Linked DNA regions of Daphnia pulex. The protein of the gene in region 1 interacts with the protein of each later gene in a pairwise test. Links are inferred from orthologs where the notes say so. Each region holds a gene or a part of one and is shown in the gene's direction. Other genes may lie near its edges.

What was found. The genes of interacting proteins can lie anywhere in the genome.
Region 2: the proteins of zinc finger protein GLI2-like (region 1) and CREB-binding protein-like interact in a two-hybrid assay, tested with the Drosophila melanogaster proteins (3 studies listed by BioGRID). The link is inferred for Daphnia pulex from reciprocal best matches to the Drosophila melanogaster genes ci and nej.
Region 3: the proteins of zinc finger protein GLI2-like (region 1) and kinesin-like protein KIF7 interact in binary tests that used the Drosophila melanogaster proteins (3 or more experiments, as listed by UniProt). The link is inferred for Daphnia pulex from reciprocal best matches to the Drosophila melanogaster genes ci and cos.

The regions. Positions count from the first base shown.
Region 1 is NC_060017.1:6,837,689-6,844,050, forward strand, and holds the start of zinc finger protein GLI2-like, read left to right. Parts: upstream 1-1,862; 5' UTR 1,863-2,869; intron 2,870-4,946; exon of another isoform or gene 4,947-5,041; intron 5,042-6,116; 5' UTR 6,117-6,362. UniProt on the Drosophila melanogaster protein: Has a dual function as a transcriptional activator and a repressor of the hedgehog (Hh) pathway. The full-length ci form (ciFL), acts as an activator (ciA) while ciR, its C-terminally truncated form, acts as a repressor. Involved in segment polarity.
Region 2 is NC_060022.1:5,073,163-5,079,676, reverse strand, and holds the start of CREB-binding protein-like, read left to right. Parts: upstream 1-2,316; 5' UTR 2,317-2,966; coding exon 2,967-3,051; intron 3,052-3,216; coding exon 3,217-3,980; intron 3,981-4,041; coding exon 4,042-4,659; intron 4,660-4,732; coding exon 4,733-4,916; intron 4,917-4,983; coding exon 4,984-5,399; intron 5,400-5,471; coding exon 5,472-6,514.
Region 3 is NC_060028.1:3,196,323-3,202,824, forward strand, and holds the start of kinesin-like protein KIF7, read left to right. Parts: upstream 1-2,304; 5' UTR 2,305-2,508; coding exon 2,509-2,568; intron 2,569-2,651; coding exon 2,652-2,838; intron 2,839-2,920; coding exon 2,921-3,066; intron 3,067-3,151; coding exon 3,152-3,274; intron 3,275-3,354; coding exon 3,355-3,526; intron 3,527-3,593; coding exon 3,594-3,838; intron 3,839-3,922; coding exon 3,923-4,281; intron 4,282-4,344; coding exon 4,345-4,628; intron 4,629-4,688; coding exon 4,689-4,777; intron 4,778-4,858; coding exon 4,859-5,195; intron 5,196-5,295; coding exon 5,296-5,465; intron 5,466-5,537; coding exon 5,538-5,845; intron 5,846-5,922; coding exon 5,923-6,128; intron 6,129-6,211; coding exon 6,212-6,462; intron 6,463-6,502. UniProt on the Drosophila melanogaster protein: Regulates cubitus interruptus (ci) processing by recruiting multiple kinases to promote its efficient phosphorylation.

The DNA.
Region 1 (6,362 bases):
CACACGATAGAAAGAAAAAGAGACTCGTAGATATTTTTTTTATTCATTCGCCCAGCAGAGAAGAGAGAAAAAAAAGTGCTGCGTGAAAATAGAATCGCTTTTCTTTTTTCTTTTTTTTCTGCTGACGTAATGTTTATGTATGAACTTGCTGGTGTCTTGACAGTAGGGAAAAAAATGAATTTCCATTTTCTTCTTCTTGGATTTTTCCTTTTTTTCTTTAAAAAACCCGGGAGTCTCTAATGATCCGAGTCATGGCTGCATTCAAATGGCTCTCTGATTGTTGTGGGTGTGTTGCATATCTTTGGGTCGGTAGAGAACCACACACACACGCACACACACACACACATTGTTGTGTGTGTCAAATGTTGTTGGGTGTTTAGTTGAAACCGGCGGTTCAGTTTTCTTTTGCTGACAATTCGGGATCTTGGTCTGAACGCAGGGGAGTTGTGAGATATCAAAAAGCTGCCCGCGGTACAAACAAACCTTTTTGACACGCATTGGCAACAGCGTGCAAGCCAGAAGAAGAAGAAGAAGCCGGAGCTTATTATTATTATTATTATTATGGTCTTTTGGTGTCATCTTATCTTGGCCTTCTCTTTCTTTCTCTCTCTTTTATTTTTTGTTTTGTTTTTGGTTGAATGGAAAAGAACAACATTTTCTATCGTTTTAATCGGACACACATATTTACACATACGAGCAGCAGCAGCAGCGGCAGCAGCAGCCGGTGCCAACCAGCTCCGGCGCCATAGGAAACCGCGCCCGTTTGCTGTGTCTGTTTGCTGTCTGCGCGCATTAGAGACCGTTGTGTAGTGATTATTATATGCGAAATGCAATCGAGTCATTATTATTGCAGCAGCAGTGGCGACGGTTTCACTTAACAGACAGACCAGCCAACTCGGCGGTAATCAAATCCCGTCGTCGTCCTCTACTATAGTCGTCGTCGTCGTCGCTGCGTTCGGAATTCACGCCCCTCTCTCCTAATGTGCCAAGGTTTTTTTCTTCCCCGTATCGCTGCGCCAGTTGCTATCCTGATGACGTGATCCGCCATTTAGGAAAATAGCTGATGGCTCAACAGCAGCAGCAGCAGCAGCCCTCAAAGAGATGAGAGAAAGAAACAAGCTGCTGACACATCAAACAAGAACTCGATCGCCGCCTTACTCATCGCTGCTGCTGCTGCTGCAACCAAACAACTCGTCCCCGCCAGTCCCTCCGCCTCTTTGGCGTTTAAGGACAAACTGTCCCGCCGTTCATTTTCCCAAAAAATAAAAGGAAATGATTTTCTCCCCCAAAGATCTTCTAAAGTGAGAAAAGGGATTTTTCATTATCTTAAATGACATTAAGGCTGCCGTCATTCATTCGGATAAGGAGGCAACCAATGAGGGGAGGAGGCGTCCGTTTATATTTGTTTCTCCTCGGGAGAAAAGAAAAGAAGGAAACAAATGAGGATGCCCGACAAGAAAAAGGTGGAAGAATATCAGTCGAGGAATCGGGAGAATCAAGACGTCCTTAAGATAACCGGTCGACGAGTCGATGACTCTCGTCCCCAGCGCCGCCAAACACCCCAAAAAGGCTCTTCCATCAGGTCCGCGTCCGCGGGAGAAGGCCAGTCTCACCAAGCAACCAGAAAAGAAAAAAGGAATTTAACCAAAAAGACAATCAAGCCAAAAACTATGGTAAAATATAGAAACATCAAATAAATGTTAAAAGAAAAAAAAGGAAATTAAGTGTCGAGGAATTTTGTTTTGTTTTTTTAATTCGAGAAATGATGGTGAATGGAAAAGTGGCAACGCTGGGCGCCACTAACCATTTTCTGGTTTTTCGTGTATAATTCTTATTTTTTTTGTTGGTGTTATCGTCCAGCACGACTCTAGCTGCCGGGTGCTGCTGCCGCCGCCGCCGCTGCTGCTGTTGGACGCTATACGGGCAACCGTTTTCACGAAAGACACAACAACAAACCTTCCTCCCCAGTCGGGCCGAGTTGAAGGCAGTGGCGTGATTCTTTCTACGTTCGCTCTTGCGCGTTTTCCCATTCAGTTTTTCACCGTCGCCATTTCTCCCCGCCCAAAAAAGATCAGATTATTTTTGATTGTGCGCACAGTTTGTGTCGTTTTTTTTTCCCCATCTCGCGCAAGTTCCGCAGATCGTGTCGACCCCGAGACGCGACCGAGAACCCGACCTCAACTCGAGAAAGAAGAGACTCTCTCTCTCGTCGTTTTCTATTTTGTTTTTACTTCTTGTTTCCTTTTTTTTTCGATTTGACATCCGTCTCGACGATTTCTCGTGTCTCGTCTGTCGCCTCTCGTCTCTTTTTATTCGTGTTCTTTGCCCTTTTACGCCGATTCGTTTAATAGTAGCCAGAAAAATATATCAATTGCGTGTGTCGTATATTACAAAGTGTCGAGCCAATTCGTGTCCACCAGTGCCACAAGCCTCTCCCGACGATCGACCGAGATTCGATCGGGCGTCAAAAGACTTTTCTTCTTTTCCTTTTTTAATTATTTCACATATTACACATTCGAGCTCCCGTGAAACAAAAGTGTCTACCTTATCGCATTACCGCCGGCAATGGGAGCCACAACGTGACGTAATCTAATCGCTCCGTAGCCTAGATTTCAGCTCATTAGACACGGCAGCAGCGCAGAATCTGATTGGATTCATTCAATCTTTTTTTAATATTTTTCCATTTTTAATCGAGTCGTGATTCTCCTCCCGGCTTGAATAGTTGGCGCTAAAGTGCCGGGCCCAGCCATCGAGTGTTTAGTGAACTTGAGCCAACGGTACGACATTATCGTATAGTTTAAAAAAGACGTGTGTAGTATACGGTGGATTACAACAGTCTGAAGAGATACCATCAACGGCATTCTGGGCGGTAAGTTGATCCGTCAACAACGAAGGATAATTTCTTTTACTGTAAGGTTGTGTGTGTGTGCCTGCCAACAACACCTGTAGACGTAATCTGCCGGGCAAATTGATTAGACACAGCGACACTTAATATATCGGCTTTAGTCCATTCAATTGATGGTAAATAACTTCAAGAAAAAAGAAAAATTGAATAGGCGTCGGATATATAGTTGTCTCATCATTTATCCTTACAGCAGTTCCATTTTCTCTCTATTTCGACCTGTCCACGCTCGCACAGTCAATTATCTAATGGGTCTTTTTTTTCTTCACCTGTTGGAAGACGCACCTGTAAAAAAAAACGACCGCTGTCGTTCTAATACACTTTCGTTTTGTACTGCTACATATTATATAGTTTTTTTGGGGGGGGGACTGTGCGGTCGTAACGCTGACCACACGCTCGGTATAAGTCCCGTCACACCTCCACAAGAAAAAAAGAATAAATTCCCAAAAAAACCACGAAGAAACAAAATGCTTCCAACTAAGTGACAAAAGGCCACACCGCAGTAGTTTCCGGCTTGCGGTGATGACACAATCGCTTTCCACACTCGGTAGTTTTGTTCCGATTGCTGGTCAACAGCGCTGGCCGTGTTCCGGCATTCACGTTATAGGGGACTTCCCTCCTTCCTAATTGCTAAGAACCACCTCAAAATTGTTTGTCTTTTAAATATCCATGGCCTATTTATTTTTTTAAATTAACTTGTATACAAATTCAAAAGAGAATGTAATACTCTTTATTATTCATCGAGACCCACAAGCGGTAAAATAATGTCGGATACACTCCCCAGCACTTGATTTTAATAGTCGAGAAATAAAAACTAGGAAGACGTAGTAAGTTGGTCAATTGTTTCTTTTTTATACTTTAGGAAAAGTGTCCTGCACCTTTCAATGTCTCGTATAGATTCCCAGACGAAACCGCAATTTTCTTATAGCAGTGACGAAAGCTTTCCGTTGTTGTACATTCGGTATACTCTCCTTTTGGGTTGTTTCTTCTTCCGTTTTTACGACCGGAGGAAAAACTGGCTGCTGCCGCCGCAGTAGCCAACGTCGCACCTACTCTACATCTACTTAGATATGCGCACAATCTTTATATAAAATTCCTCGACCAATTTACGACACTCTATATAGTATAGTACGGGGGCCACTTCATTTTTTCGCTTCCATCCACTTTCTTCTTAATGCTTTTCGGATTAATTCCGATTCCGGAACAAAAAGACATTTGAAGAAGATAAAATGAAATCCAAATGGATTTTTTTGGTGAGAGTGTGTATAAGTGACACGATGTGCTCCGCCCTTATTTTTTACCTTTTATCTTCTTCTTCTTTAATTCTCCTGACCCGCCAGAGGAGAGATCAATCGGCCGTTTTTGTATACCTCTGCTAAGGGGGTGGAAGGGGGGGAGTTCATTTATCAAAAAGTGGGAGACTTCCCTTTCCGTTGACTTGACCCCATGCGGAATTCCCTCCATCCGCCAAATACACACAGCGGATTAAAAGTTTAAAAAAAGGAAAAAAAGGGTTTTTTTTTTTGGTTTTCTGAGGGTAAAAATGCAAAGTAGTGGACGACACTCAAAAGTACTTATAATAATAATACACGGGCGGTATAGGCCAGCGGGTAAATGTGTACTTTTAACCCAATTTTATTTTACTTTGACTATACTTTAGTGTTGACCGAAGTGAAATAAATAAACTTAAGTATTTTAATGTAGTTGGTGTTACGCGTAAATTTCATTGAAATCGGCTACTTATTTAATAAATTTGAAAAGAACACACCGAATTTCACATTCGTCGTCTGTGATTGGCAGTTGCCACTTCCCATCCCACTCCATTGTTTTTCACCCACCCACGTTGTCAAAGATCACTTAATGACTTTAATTAATTAAAGTATTTTATAATTGACTCGCAATCTTGAAATTATAGCCATTAAATTAAAAACATTTTATTAAAAAAAATATTTGTACACACGTATTCAATTATTCATCTTCGAGAAAAATTAAATTTAGCAATTTAGAAATTGCAACACAGCTCAGATTCGGGAATCTCTTTGTCAGTTATTCTTCAATGGAGTCATGGAGCAGGTTGTACATTTTCGCGGTTTTTTATTCAGGTGTTATGGACCATATTGGAAATTTTTAACCAAATGAGTAAGTTCTTTATTTAGGATCTATTGTAGTTCATAGATAATAAGTGTTTAAGCATTATTTTGTCCACTTTTGGTTAAGCAAACGTTCACTTCATTTGACATTTTGAACCAACAAGAATGGTGTAAGAATAAGTAAGAATAAAGTGAAGTAGAGTCAAAGTGAAAGTTGAAATTGAATTGGTATAGAGGGGTAGTTAATGTACAAGTGGCCAGTGAATTAAATTCCAATTCGTCGAGTCCAAGACTCGAGTGAGCGAGAAAATTGAAGCCCGGCTTCTTGTCAGGTCAAAGATCAGCCCAGCAGGAGGGTTTTTCATTTTTTGGGGAAACACATATGCTGTTGACTTGGGAGGGACACAGCAGACGGACGATATATATTTAGTGTTTATTCCTTCTTCTTCCGGCATAAGTATGGGCTTTAGAAAATAGCATCAGGACTGCAGATTTCCGTTTTGCTCGACACATTTCGCTTCGCTGATTTCAAATGAAAAATTCAAAGTGAAGGACTTTTGACGGTTCTCCAAATCTCTTCATCACATCCGGCCACACACACTTAAAAATGTTAAATAGTAAAATGTCTAAAAACAAAAAAAATCACACTTTGAAAATGTGTCCGGTATTATTTGTGGCGACCATATAAAATGTCCACCACCCATCAAAAAGAAAAAAAGGTGAAAAATGTTTTTTAAAAAATAAAAAAAAAAGCGTTGCGAGTCTATTAAGAAAAAGAACCGTGAAGGCACTTAATGCCTTCATGATAAGATCAACATTTTAGAAGGAGCTCAGCTTATCGACACTTTACACATTTTCATTTCTTTTTGGAAAAGGTTAGCAGCAGCTCTCTGAGCCGGGCAAATCTCTCCACTGGCAACTTCAATAAGTCATAAGATTCCAGAGGTTATTTCAAATACATCTTTCGATGCAATTGGTTGTATTATGTTACGGCTGCGTAAAATGGCGCGCGATTCGCTGTGGTAGTTCGTACGTTCCACTTTCGTGAAAAATGGTTGAACATCACGTCTCGACCGCTCATTCTTTCTTTCTTTTTTTAAAAATCTTTTCTTCTGTATGCGCAGGTATATATCGCTCTCTCGGTCTGCTGCCGCAACAGCAACAACAGGGCAGCCACTCACGCAGGTCCTCCTCATCGCCTTTGGAGATTCACGGCGTGAGAGAATAGATGGAAAAAGGAGGCGGATATCATCGTCATGCCGACATTAGCAACTGCAGCCACGGCACAAACGTCTTGATTTCACCATCAAGTCATTGAAACCACCGTCGAGTTTCCTACCACCCCGCGCAATTGTTGGACCAATTTTTCC
Region 2 (6,514 bases), on another chromosome or scaffold:
CTTTGGGCTACGAAACCAAGAGTTGTCAAATCCAGTTGTGAATTCTGGGTGATATTTTGAAGTTAGAGACCTTCACAGTGGAACTAGAATGCTAACAACAAAGTTACGGTGTTAGAATAAGAGCCATCACAACAGACAAGTGTTATTAAACAATACCATAGTTTTATATTTCAGCACAAGTGTCGGTAAGCGAGTGCATACAGTGGCAGCCAAAGCAAACAGTTAATACAGGCTCAGAGTAACATTTTCACTTTTCATCTGCTCACCTCCGACTTACACACGGGGCTAACTAGCCACAACACAAAACTTTCGATAATATGAAACGTTAACTAATCTTCATGGATTTGGTGACAAGACCTTTTCGTCATTTTCTCATTTAAAAGAGATTAATTGAAAAACGTTTTGTATCATCATATTCTCACGTGAATGTGTGGGAGGAGTCTTGACTAAGACAGACAGCCGCTCCTTCTATCTGCCACATTCCTTCCCCTCCCTCCATGGAACATCGCCATTTGGTAACTCTGCTGGCTGTCAAACTTGGCTATTTCAGATTTTAGAAAAAGTTTGGGAAATATAGTCAATAAAACCAATTAGTTTTAGTTTTGAAAACATTTATGAAAACTGTATCGTTGATATATTGTTGCCATAAGAACGTGTAAGAGAAAGAAACCAAAATGCAAATTATTAATGGAATTGACATTTTTACAACTTGTCAAAAAAGTACAGGGGATCGTCTGAACTCTGAAGGATCTTATTTGAAAAAGTTGTGTGTGTTGTGTTTATATTTTTTTGTCAGGTTGTGACAACAAGACAAATACATGACTGATATAATGATTTTGCAAAACTGGAGAGCTTCTTCGGCCGCCGCCATTTCTTTCTTCGATCATGACGTCATTTGGTAAGAGCCATCTGAAAGGTTGCTGAACCCGGCTTCTAGAAGGGAAATTATTTGCTTCAACAATTTATTTTTTGGCTTTTCGAACTTGACGATTAAAGATCTAGAAATGATGCCAGTCAATAAAAAAAAAAAAGTGGTTCAATTCAACTTTTACAAAATTTCAAAATACATCGCGTCAATCTTGCATTATCGCTTTGATTACCGGTTAGACGAAAGTAACTTGACAAGAATTGAATAATAGTCCCGAAGAATGAGCAAGATTTTTTTTTCTGTACCAGTAGTCGAATATTTGACATTCGACATTGAAGATGTTATTCCAAATGTTCTGTTACGTTGCATTGTAAGTTACAACCCTCACGAGGAATCCAAGGCTGTATGAAAATATGCTGGTTGTAAATTTTCCGAATGTATTACCTTTTCAAAGTTGTTCTTTCCAACATTTTATTATTAAGTAGGTTGTTTTACAATTCGCTTGTTGTAGTCATAAGTTCTGGTTTAAACCGCTTATTGCGTACATAAATCAACCCCGATTGAGGTAAAATGTCATTTATTACTTCCACGTCAGGACAGATTTGATTGGATACCACTTTCCGCTGGATCAATCTACTTTAACGAAAGGTCAACAAACTTTTCTTGTTTGCAAAATAGTAATTAAAAAATAAAATAAAAAACGATTGATTTGATAATAATTCATACTGGTGCGGTTCATGTGTGCATTTTTATATTTTACAGATTAGCTGGATTTCTGCTTCTTTAATTAAGCGGATATTTATGATTCATTTGTGGACGCTATTCTGTGTCAATTCTGTGTGCAATGTTCTGTGCTTTCGCACTTGAATTTATTTCTGCCCATTAAAGACGTTTGCTTCAAATCTGTTATAATTTATTTTTCATCGAATATCTTAATCAAGATTTTAGTAAAAATCTTGAAATTTACAAAATCTACAAATAAGTAAAATCTGTCACATCTATTTTTTAACCAGTAATAAAATTTTACAGGCAAACGACGAAGCTACTTTTATTGAAGCCATATCATTTTTATTCCAAAGATTTCACCAAACATATAGTTCCCCATTCTAATTATTTTTTAGCTGTTTGTTGCGAGCAAATGACGAAGATCGAAGAGTAACTGAACAACTTTTCGCGCCAGAGAAAGTTCCATCGAAAATGTGCGCTCAACAACAATGAAATCAAGGAAGAACCTGACAACGTCGTATTCGCTTCTCACGAATTATAATGAGCTTGAGTAAAATTTTTTGACACTTCATGTAATTTTTGTGTTTGTTTCAAGAATGCAAAATATTTGAAAATAATGATTAAAAATTAGGAAATCAAATGAAATGATAAGAATTATTGAGAATTGCATCGCAAAAATCTCTATCGCGTCTATTTAGATGGAAAAATTGTCTAAAACTTACGACTTTGGCCACCAGAGTTGGACCCTTAGATCCAAGCTAAGAAATCAACAGCAGCCATTTTGTTCGAGTCCCTGAAGAAGAATGTAGAAAATCTAGTGGCAGGAGAAGAAAAAGTAAATCGTGAACGGAAAATTTTCGTCATCGTTCACCTCGTGATGCTAGGTAGTGCCGCTGATTGTTAACGGATTGTTATATTGTCGAAAAAAAAGTTTACATAAAAATTGAAAATTTGGCGGCGACCCCTACTGTGGAGATCCTCGGACGACTACAGTGGGACGGGGTTGTTCTTTTTTTTTTTGAAGTGAAAGCCGTTGCCGTGAAGGAAGGCTTGAATTCTGCACGGTCGACGGAAGAAGCTAAAGTTCCTCTCTGGAAGGCTCCGTTTTACCGCCCTCAAAGTGATTCACCAACATTTATTAATACAGTGGCCGGCGCGTTGGACGCTTTAATTGATTGAAGAAAGGAAAATTTCGGAAGAAAGCATCTTACCTGTCTTGTCTTTCTCCCATCCATACATCCTCAATGGCTGTGGAGAAGAGTGCTCTATGACCTCTCTTTACTTGTCCAAGTGTCATGTGCTGCTGGTGGGGAAGATTGTGCGATGAGTCTTTTTTAGCAGAAGAGGTGCTTGGTTTAACCTAAAGAAAGTCATGGCTGAACACCTTATTGAAGGGCCGCCTAACAAGCGGCCCAAACTGAATGATGCTATTGGCAACTGCTCTACTGATTCATCAGGTATAACACCATTTTGTTTTTAAAATGCATAAATACAGCTTTATTCTTAGAGTTTGACAATCGACTTGGTCCATTGTTGTCAAGCTGTCACATGTTTGACAGTTGGGTCAACTTTTACCGTTTTACTTGCATCCTCTGATTCTAACCATCTTTATTCCTTTATAGATATGATTGGGAATCCACTATTTGATCTTGAAAGCAATCTGCCTGATGAGCTTTTCAACACATCAGGAGGGGGCTGGAGTAATGCTACTGCTAATGTGAGCCAGCCGACTGCCCAGCCACAGCAGCAGCAACAGCAGCCTCCACAACAACAACAGTGTGTTCAGAGGCCCCAGTCTATGGGCCCTAACAATCCTGGAATGGGAATGTCGATGGGCTTAGGACCTGGTTCTCAGCAGCAACAAAATGGATCAATGGATGCTCAACATCATCACCAGCTTCCTCATATGGGAATGCAAAACAAAGCTTCGCTGAACAATATGAGTGGTGGTGCGATAAGTGGCAGTGCAATTGGGCAAAACAACATGAACATGGCTAATAGTAGTTTAAATAAAGGCCCTCTGAATAGTAAGTTGAACTCACCGCCTGGCAGTGCCCCAATGCCCATGATGAATTCTATGGGAAATGGCCCACAAATGATGCAGTCGTTGCAGCAGCAACAACAGCAGCAGCAACAATCAATGAATAACATGTTGAATCCAACTGGAATGGGTGGTGTGAACGTGTCGATGAAGACACCCGGGTCCATGATGAATGCCGGCCAAATGAGCCAGGGTTTACACAACGGCCCACAATCCATGATGGGCAGTGCTAGGCCTGTTGGAGGCCTTCCTAACAATATGATGCCGCAACAGCAACAACAACAACAAACGCCATTAAGAGGGCAGCTTATACAAGGGATGAATCCTCAAGGACCTCGCTTGCAGGTAAGAAATTCTGCTCTGTCTTGTTCTTACTTTTGTAGCTAAACCAACTCGATTAAAACAGGGACCGGGAATTGGTGGAATGGGAGGCATGGGCCCAAATGCCGGGCCCGGCTCGAATGTGATGACCAATTCCAATCAATATGGCTTTGCTAATTCGAACATGCCAAATGCTATGATGGCAGCCCAACAGCAAAGACCTATCGGTACAGCTAATGGTGGTATTCCTCCAATGCAAAATGCCATGCAGCAGCAGCAACAACAACAGCAGCAGCAACAACAACAACCGAGGTTTAATAGCGAGCAAAATATGAATCCCAACATGTCAGCACGACCAGTTATGATGCCTGGTGGAGCAGCGGCGATGGTTTCAGCGCCGATGGTATCATCAGCGTCATCCACTGTCACTCAGACTCCTATGGTTTCTGCCCAACAACAGCATCCTCAACAACAACAGCAGCAGCAATACACACCAGTGGCCGCTAATGCTCCTCAAGTGGCAGCGCCAAGCCCAGCTGTTACTCCTGTCGTGCCAGTCGCCGCAGGATCGGCCGGTGGTGCAGGAGCAGCTAATGCGGCAGCAACTGCCGATCCCGAGAAAAGGAAACTGATCCAGCAGCAACTTGTACTCCTTCTTCACGCTCACAAGTGCCAGCGAAGAGAGAACCAGGCCAACGGAGAGGTGCGTTGAATAGACGACGAAAATTTTTAAATAATGTGTCCTTATGGTTTTGGTTCATCTTTTGATACCACAGTGCACCCTTCCACACTGCCGGACAATGAAAAATGTTTTGAACCACATGACGACATGCCAGGCGGGAAAATCATGCCAAGTACCTCACTGCTCCTCTTCGCGGCAGATAATTTCTCATTGGAAAAACTGTAATCGTTCCGACTGCCCCGTCTGCCTGCCTCTCAAACAGGCAGATCGGAATAAAGGTACCACAATTTTTTTGCTCATTTTTCGTGGAGAAATTTATTCAAATATTTTTCTTCGTTCTGTTAGCTCCTCATAATGCTTCTCAACCGAGTCCTGCCGGTTTCGATGTCGGTCTTGGTTCCAACTCGATTGGCGCATCGTCTGCGGCACCCGGTCAAGGTATCCTACCAACATTGAATCAAGGCGGTGCTGTCGGAGGAGTTCAGGCTCCTCCTAACGCTGTAGGTGGGATGCCGAGGCCTTTACTACCACCCCAACAACAGCAGCAAAATTCAATGGTTCCAATGAACAATGCCCAGTTAGCAGGAAATAACCCTCCGTCAGCCGTCGCCGCAGCTGGGCAACCTGTTCCTCCTGGTGCCATGAATCGTGGCCCTCCTCATAACGCGGCGCTGCAATCTCAGCAGCAAACCGCTGGTTCCACCACGGCAAGGAATATTAGGGGTTCCATCTCAGACAACGCATCCAACATTGAGCACATTGTATGATTTCAAACAATGCATTTTACATAGCAGAATATTTTTTCATTCACTCCCTTTCTTTATTCGATTTAGATGAGCCCGGTAAATTCAACAACTCCCTTGCCTGGTGGACTGCAGCCAAGTCAGGTCACAGCCGATCCTGTTCAAGGGTCTAAAGAGTGGCATCAGTCGGTGTCACCCGATCTGCGTAATCACTTGGTTCAGAAACTCGTTCTGGCCATCTTTCCAACTCCCGATCCACAGGCAATGTTGGATAAACGGATGCACAACTTGGTGGCCTATGCTCGGAAAGTCGAAAGTGACATGTACAAGATGGCTGATTCCCGCTCCGAGTATTATCACCTTTTGGCTGAGAAGATTTACAAGATTCAAAAGGAGCTGGACGAGAAGCGTCAAAAGCGCAAGGAGCAACAACAAGCTCAGCAAACGCCTACTTCTACGCCGACGACGCCGCTGCAACAGCAGCCTCCTTCCGCGCTCTCCCATCTTCAATCTGGCCAACAAGTACCTCCGCAACAGCAGCAACAACAACAGCAACAACAACAACCTGTACCACCAAGCAATAACGCAGGTTTGAGGCCTAATATGCCAGGGATTGGGGAATCTGGGCAGGGGGCACGAGGAATCGCACCTACGAGCGGAATGATGATGCGCAACCCAACTCCCATACCACCCAGTCCAGTGGGAATGAGTCAAGTGCCCAATCAACTCGCTCAGCAGCAACAGCAGCAACAGAGAATGTCTATGCAGCAAATAAGACCGGATCATGGTAACATTGGGCCACCCAATCAAACTGTTCCTCTTCCTGGATTGTCGCCTTACGGTAGTATGGGCACTCCTATGAGCGCTAGTTCGCCCTTTCCCAGTGCCAATATGAACCAAAACGCGTCTCAGCAACAACAGATGCGTAACCGAATGCCTGCTCCTCCATACTCAGTGTCTCAACAGCAGCAGCAGCAGCCACAGCAGCGACAACAACCTAATCATCCAATGATGATGCAACAGCAGCAGCAGCAGCAGCAACAACAACAACAACAGCAGCAGCAGCAGCAACAGCATCAGCAACAACAGCAATCAGTCCAGTCTTCCGACCAACAGCAGCATATGAACGAGCG
Region 3 (6,502 bases), on another chromosome or scaffold:
ATTTCTGTTAAATATGGGGGGGGGTCAATAATGTAGGATAATGTTTTTCCTGAAATAATTCGTTGCGGACAAGAAATTGAGTTGCCGGCGGAACAGATTCCATTCAATACGGATGTTGTTTCTGAAGTTGTTGCTCTTGTTGCCGGTGTTGCGGTTGCAGATGCGGCCATTGTTTGCCATGAAGAGGCAGTCAACGAATTTGATTGCGAAGTTGGTGTTAGGGATCTTTGCGATAGATCTTTTTTATGTTTACATGCAATAATGAACCTTATTGTATCTAATTTACCTTATTAATTTACGTTTCAATCAATTGCTTCATCAAGAGCAGCGAAGTTCAAGATGGGGAGGTGTATTTGGCAAAGGTGTCCGACGGAGAATGCGAAAGAAGACCAAATAGAAAAACACTACCGAAATATAGAGGATGGCTACGTTAATCTTGTAAGTAATTTATGGGTAAGTTATTTTTTTTTTGTTTTTGGGTTATTATATTCAATGTTGTGTTTTTATAGGTTTCGAATTACGAGAAATTTGTGGAGAGCACTACCAAGGTCAAGAACAAATTTTGTCAACAAGAAGAGCGTTTTGTGGAACTAAACCAACATCTTGGGGAAATTTTAATCTTTATCGAATTTTAATCTTGATCAACGTCAAGACCTAAGTGATCAGTATTTTATGATAAAACGTTTTTTTATTAACCTTGGAGGGTTGTGATGCTTTACACAAATTTATGGTCGCAAATTATCATTGTCTACGAGCTGATGATTTGTCTGAAGACAATGAATATGTACTGGACTTGGACTTCAGTGTTTCGTCTATACGTCAGTCTAATAGATAGAATTTGTATGAAGTGTTCAACGAAACTGGTATTCAAAAGCGAATGTGGCTTCGATAAATGCACAAGGTATATCTCTTATGTTTTCTTTCATTTTATTATTTTTTACTTGAACAACGTTTCTTATTGTTAACAATTTAGGAATGTACATATCCTCAAATTTTTCACTACGGAATAGGTGATCCTGTTTATATTCCATATGAAAGAACTACTTTTGAACCTCCTGTACTTGTACCTGTATCTGCACTAGAAACTTTGCCTGTTGGAAATTTCAAGGAAGCAGAGGAAGAAGTTTCTTGTATGGATGTTGAAGATGTGGACGATGGCGTAGGGGAAGTAGCTGAAATTGAAGAAGAAGACGTCGTCACCAGTCAACAATTGGAGAATGGCATGGCCAAATTGGTATTTTTTTATTGTTTTTTACTGTGTAATGTCATTATTTCTAATATTAAATTTTTTTAGGTCAACATGTACAATGCTTTTTTCGAACAATCGAGAAAAATGAGTAAGCAGTTCCGCTAAAAGAATGATGACATTCAAAAACTTAAACAGTTTCTTGAAGCTGAAAAGCAAAGGTAATCGTGATTAATTTTTTTCGCAATTTTAATTTCCTAATAATTCCATTTTTTTTTAGATTAATGCAGTGAATGGATGACGAGGAGTGGGAGGTAAAGGCTGTCCTGGACGACGAACAACATGACGGAGTCGAGTATTTTAAAATATGTGTAAGGTGCAAAGCTAAGTAGCAGTTGCCATTAAAAAATGGTAAACTTGGAAATCTAGCCGCTGCGCTTTCTTTTTGAGGTGTTGGTAAAGTGCAGGGTGCAGGTGCAGGTTAGACGGTGGGTAAAGTGCGGAACCCGGAGTGCAGGGTGCGGCGTGCAGGTAGGTGGGTAAAATGCAGGCCCAAATGCTGCTCACAGAAAGTGCAGGTTAGGTTGGTTGAGTGGAGGTTTAGATGTGGCATGAAGTTATTATTTTGACCACTAGGTGGCTGCCATTTTTATATTGAACTTTTTTGGAGTTTTGTATTGAACTTTTTTTGGGTTTTATATTGACTTTTTTGGTTTTTATATTAACTTTTTGTTTTTTATATTACTCTTTTTGGTTTTTATGTAATACTTTTTACCAGTTTTTATATTGAATTTTTTTATTTTTATATTCTTTTCTGTTTTATGTATTGATATTTTGAAAAAAAATTTATATTGAAAAAGTGGCGGTTTTGGGCCCTCATAATTCAGCGCGCAACAGAGTGTAGACAATAAATAAAAAGTACACGCAAATGGATAATAACTGACTGAAGGCAGTCAAACATAAAATTTCACTGCACATTGCACTTTTCCTAACCTGCATTTTAGTGTAGAATTCTAAACCTGTATTTTACCAAGGGAGCCGCTCGGTTGGGGAAAGTGCAGGGCCCCTGCACTCCGGGTTCCGCTTTTTACCCACCGTCCAACCTGCACCTGCACCCTGCACTTTACGGACACCCTTCTTTTTTTGACATTTAAAGTAAAAGGGAAAAGGTGTTGTTGTTTCTGTTTCCTTGAAAATAATAATATACAATTACGTCAGGTGTTGTGTGATCATCTTTTCCTACTGTCAGTTGTGCGATCCGAATTGTTAATTGGTTAATTTATCCAACAAGAACTATTCTTAACTGTATTATCAATGTCGTGATGCTTTTCAGCGCTAGTCAAGACAGGGATTTACAAGCCCGAGTTCAACTCGTAACCCGGGTAAACAAGAACTTTAACCATTTTTTTTTTCATTAAGTAATTGTATTTCAACCCATTGTTCACAATTTTTGAAATTTAACTAGATTCGTTCACTACAAACAACTGATCATGTTTTACCAACACCATATTTTCAAATTGATCCATCCCATGGAACAATTGTGCTGGGAAACAATCGGTTATTTCATTTGGGCAATGTTCTCCCATTTGATTGTCCTCAACAGGCAATATTCAAAGGATATGTCGAGCCAATTGTCAATGCTTGTTTTGATGGTCTGTTAAATAATTTAAGAAAAGAACTGTTATGCAACTTCTTATACTTTTAACGTCATCTTATATGGTATTGGTATGTCAGGTTTCAACATAACTGTAATAGCGTATGGACAAACTGGATCTGGGAAAACATTTACAATATTTGGACCTGGATTGCTCTACACCATGAATGAATCTGATTTTGGTATGGTTCCACGGACTGTTCGTAACTTGTTTTACAAAGCTAAAGTAAACAGTTTGAAGTAATAAATATGTGAAGATTAAATAACTAAATTGGTTTTTGTTTGATATTTTGGGAATTTTTTTTAATTAGGAATACCCCGGAAGACAGATCTCTATCCAAGCAAGCTATTTAGAAATCTATGATGAAGAAATTCATGATCTTCTGAGTATGGAACCCTTTCATGGTGAAATTACTGTACAAGAAGATCAAAATGTATTATTTAAAAAAAAAAAAAATTTAAATGTGAAATTGCTGATAATAGCAATGCTATAATTATTACATATTGAATTTAGGGAGAAATCATCATCACTGGAGCAACACAAATGGAATGTCATACCATTGATGATGTATTTAGCTGTCTTGAAACTGGTCTGGCTTTAAGACATACTGGGCCCATGTTAAATCAACTCTCAAGTAGATCCCATGGAATTTTCACACTCTATATGCAACAGGCATGGACACAAGGTTGACTACTTTTCTTTATTCTTTTGTTGATAATTTTCTCAATGAAACTTGACATATTTTCTTTCAGATGGATGTTTGTATGAAGTGTGTTCTAAACTCCATTTTGTCGACTTGGCTGGATCGGAAAGACTTGGCCTCGGTGTTACCAGTAATCATGGAAACGACGATACACAACTAACAGGATTTCAGGAACCATTTTCCATTAATTCTGGCCTTCTTGCGTTAAGTAATGTCACGGCTGCATTGGGTGATCCTAGAAGAAAAGCTAGCCACGTGCCTTATTGGGATTCGAAATTAACCTACATTCTGAAAGTGTGTTTATTTTGTCAAAAACATTTCTTTTTCACTCTCTCTTTTGGTTACGATCTAACTGTGCATTTAAATTTATTCATGTAGGATTCACTGGGTGGTAATGCCTTCACCTTGATGATTGTGTGCCTTTCTCCTTCGGCTTCTGATTTGGAAGAGACGACGAATACGTTGAAGTTCGCATCAAGGGCAGCAAACATTTGTAATCGCCCAGTAGCGAATGTCCGCCTTACACCGATAGCTAATATTCCTTTGATGGCAATGGGCATAAACGCTCGCCCTTTTAATTTGGCTGGTGTGACGGAACTTGTGTCACCGCCTAACATTCCGCAATTTCAAATGAATGAAACTCCATTTACTTGTCAAGCTAATCCTATGAGGGACAATGAAGAAAATCGATCTGTATATCATGATCCTGAACAAACAGACGGAGATGAAGTTTTTAGGTCAGACTTTTAAATTTATAAATTGAAGCTTTCATTCAGCAATTGCATTTCTCTTTCCCATAGATTACGATTCGCAGCAAGTCAGTGGCAATTACTGGTGACCAACGCCGAAACACTTTTAAATGAGTTGGCTGCATCTGGGTTGCTTGGAAATGACACCAAAAACAAAATAGAATCTTGGCTTTGTTTGAAAGAGGAATACGCAAACTGTATTGATCCCGATTTGTTAACCATCAAACCGCGAAACAGAATTCAGAGTGATACCGATGGCAGTCACCTGACAGACTTGCCTATCACAACAAGCATATTTCACACCAGTGGTGAATCTAAAACACTCCATGTCATTGGTAACTAAATCTTTAGTGTGTGCGTGTGATAGTCGTTTTAACTATTATATTAATTTGTAGAAGAGGTATCCGAGCCCACTCCAACCCGTGAACTTTCTTCTGAACTGAGTAACAGGCATGATCGGTCGTCCATAGACTCGTCATCTGATGTAAGAACGGGAATAATGCAGCATTCTGTTTAACATAAAAAAACGTAAAATGAAAATATCGTATAATTTCTTTCATATTAGGGGTCTCACTTTACGGAGCAACTGGATATATTAAGGCAGCAATTTAGAGAAACAACTGACCGTTTAATCTCAAGCATCGAGTCAATGTATGATAACGCAACGTCTTTAGAATGGGGTGCATCAAATCCTATTGATTTATCTCAACACGCTGAATTTGACCGCGAACAATCAACTAGCAATTATAAAAGTGGGAATACCAGTCCGAAACCTCTAAGAACTGGTCGAAGAGTTAGTATATTCGGTCTTTCAAATGCAGTAGACCAACAGCCTCTAATAGGTGAAACTCGTTTATCAACTCCAGAATCTGTAAATAATGAATCATCATCTAATCATCCAAGTAAGTACTAAGTAGTTGAATCAGTTTTGAATTTTCAACCTATAGTCGATGATATCTTATATTTTTTTAAACACTAAACATCTTTGTTGCTTCTTGGCAGTTGAAGGGAGCCTGAAAGTCGGAGGCGATGCGGAAGACGATGCATGTCGAGAAATGCGACATTCTGCTGAGATTTCAGAAAAACGACAACTCCTTACATGGAAAACGAACAAACAACTTAAAAAAGCTCACCAAACCCTTGAGGAGCTCAAACGGACAGTTTCTTTGAAGGTTAGCTTGCCGATCTGACGTTGATCTCCCCAGTAATTTTTAACTATCTTTATTATTATTTTCTTTTTAAAGGAGGAATATGTGGATTTTACTCGTGACAGCAAAGAAAACGAACAGACAAAAACTCACCAGGAGAAAATTCAGAAATCGCTTAAGCAGGATAGGGTCCCTCATCAATCCGATCTAAATATTCCACCCCGCCATAGGAAACAGTCAGAAGACAACAGTGATGAATGCAGCAGTCCCATCGAACAAGAAAGCGACAACGTCACTGACGGTGAACGAACAATCGGCCAACAGCGGGCTGAGATTATACGCTTTGAACACTGTTTAAAAAACATGGCAGAGTTGCTAGATCTAACTGCGCGGGCTCCTCGGAAGTAATTGCATTTTACATTTGTGAAATTCTATGGATCGTTTGACTCAACTAATGGTACTTTATTTATTCCCATTTTAGAGTTGGCGAACTGGAGCGAAGTCTGTCCATTATGAAGGACCAGCAATCGGTTCTAAAGGAGCAGCTTCGTCAAGAGAACGAGAAGAAAAAAGAGTTGAAACAAGAAATAGAAAAGGATCATGTGCGTATAGTTGAACTTGAACGTCAGCTACAGGAACAACGAGTTAGTTCCGAAATGCGTTTCCTTGAACTTTGCAGTGATAAAGGTAGATTTAAAAAAATAATAATAATCTAATATTCGCCCATATTATATAATAACACGGCAATTTTCTTTTGTTTGGACTCGCAGACGGCACACCTGGTGAATCTGAATTGGAGCACAAGTGGCGCTGGCTGGTAGCAGAGGAGGAACGTTTGGTCGAACTGCGTACAGCCATAACGTGGCGCTCCGAAGAACTAGAAGAGAAGCAGAGTATACTGGAAAAAAGGGAAATAGCCCTTGACAAATCGAAAAATCAAAGCGAAACCGAAAAGAGCCACACAAGTTCCATCGGCGATGTAGGAAGCAAGCGGAAAAAAGATATGGAGTCAAATGATAAAGTAATTGTTCTACTAATTACACATCTTGCGTAACAATTCT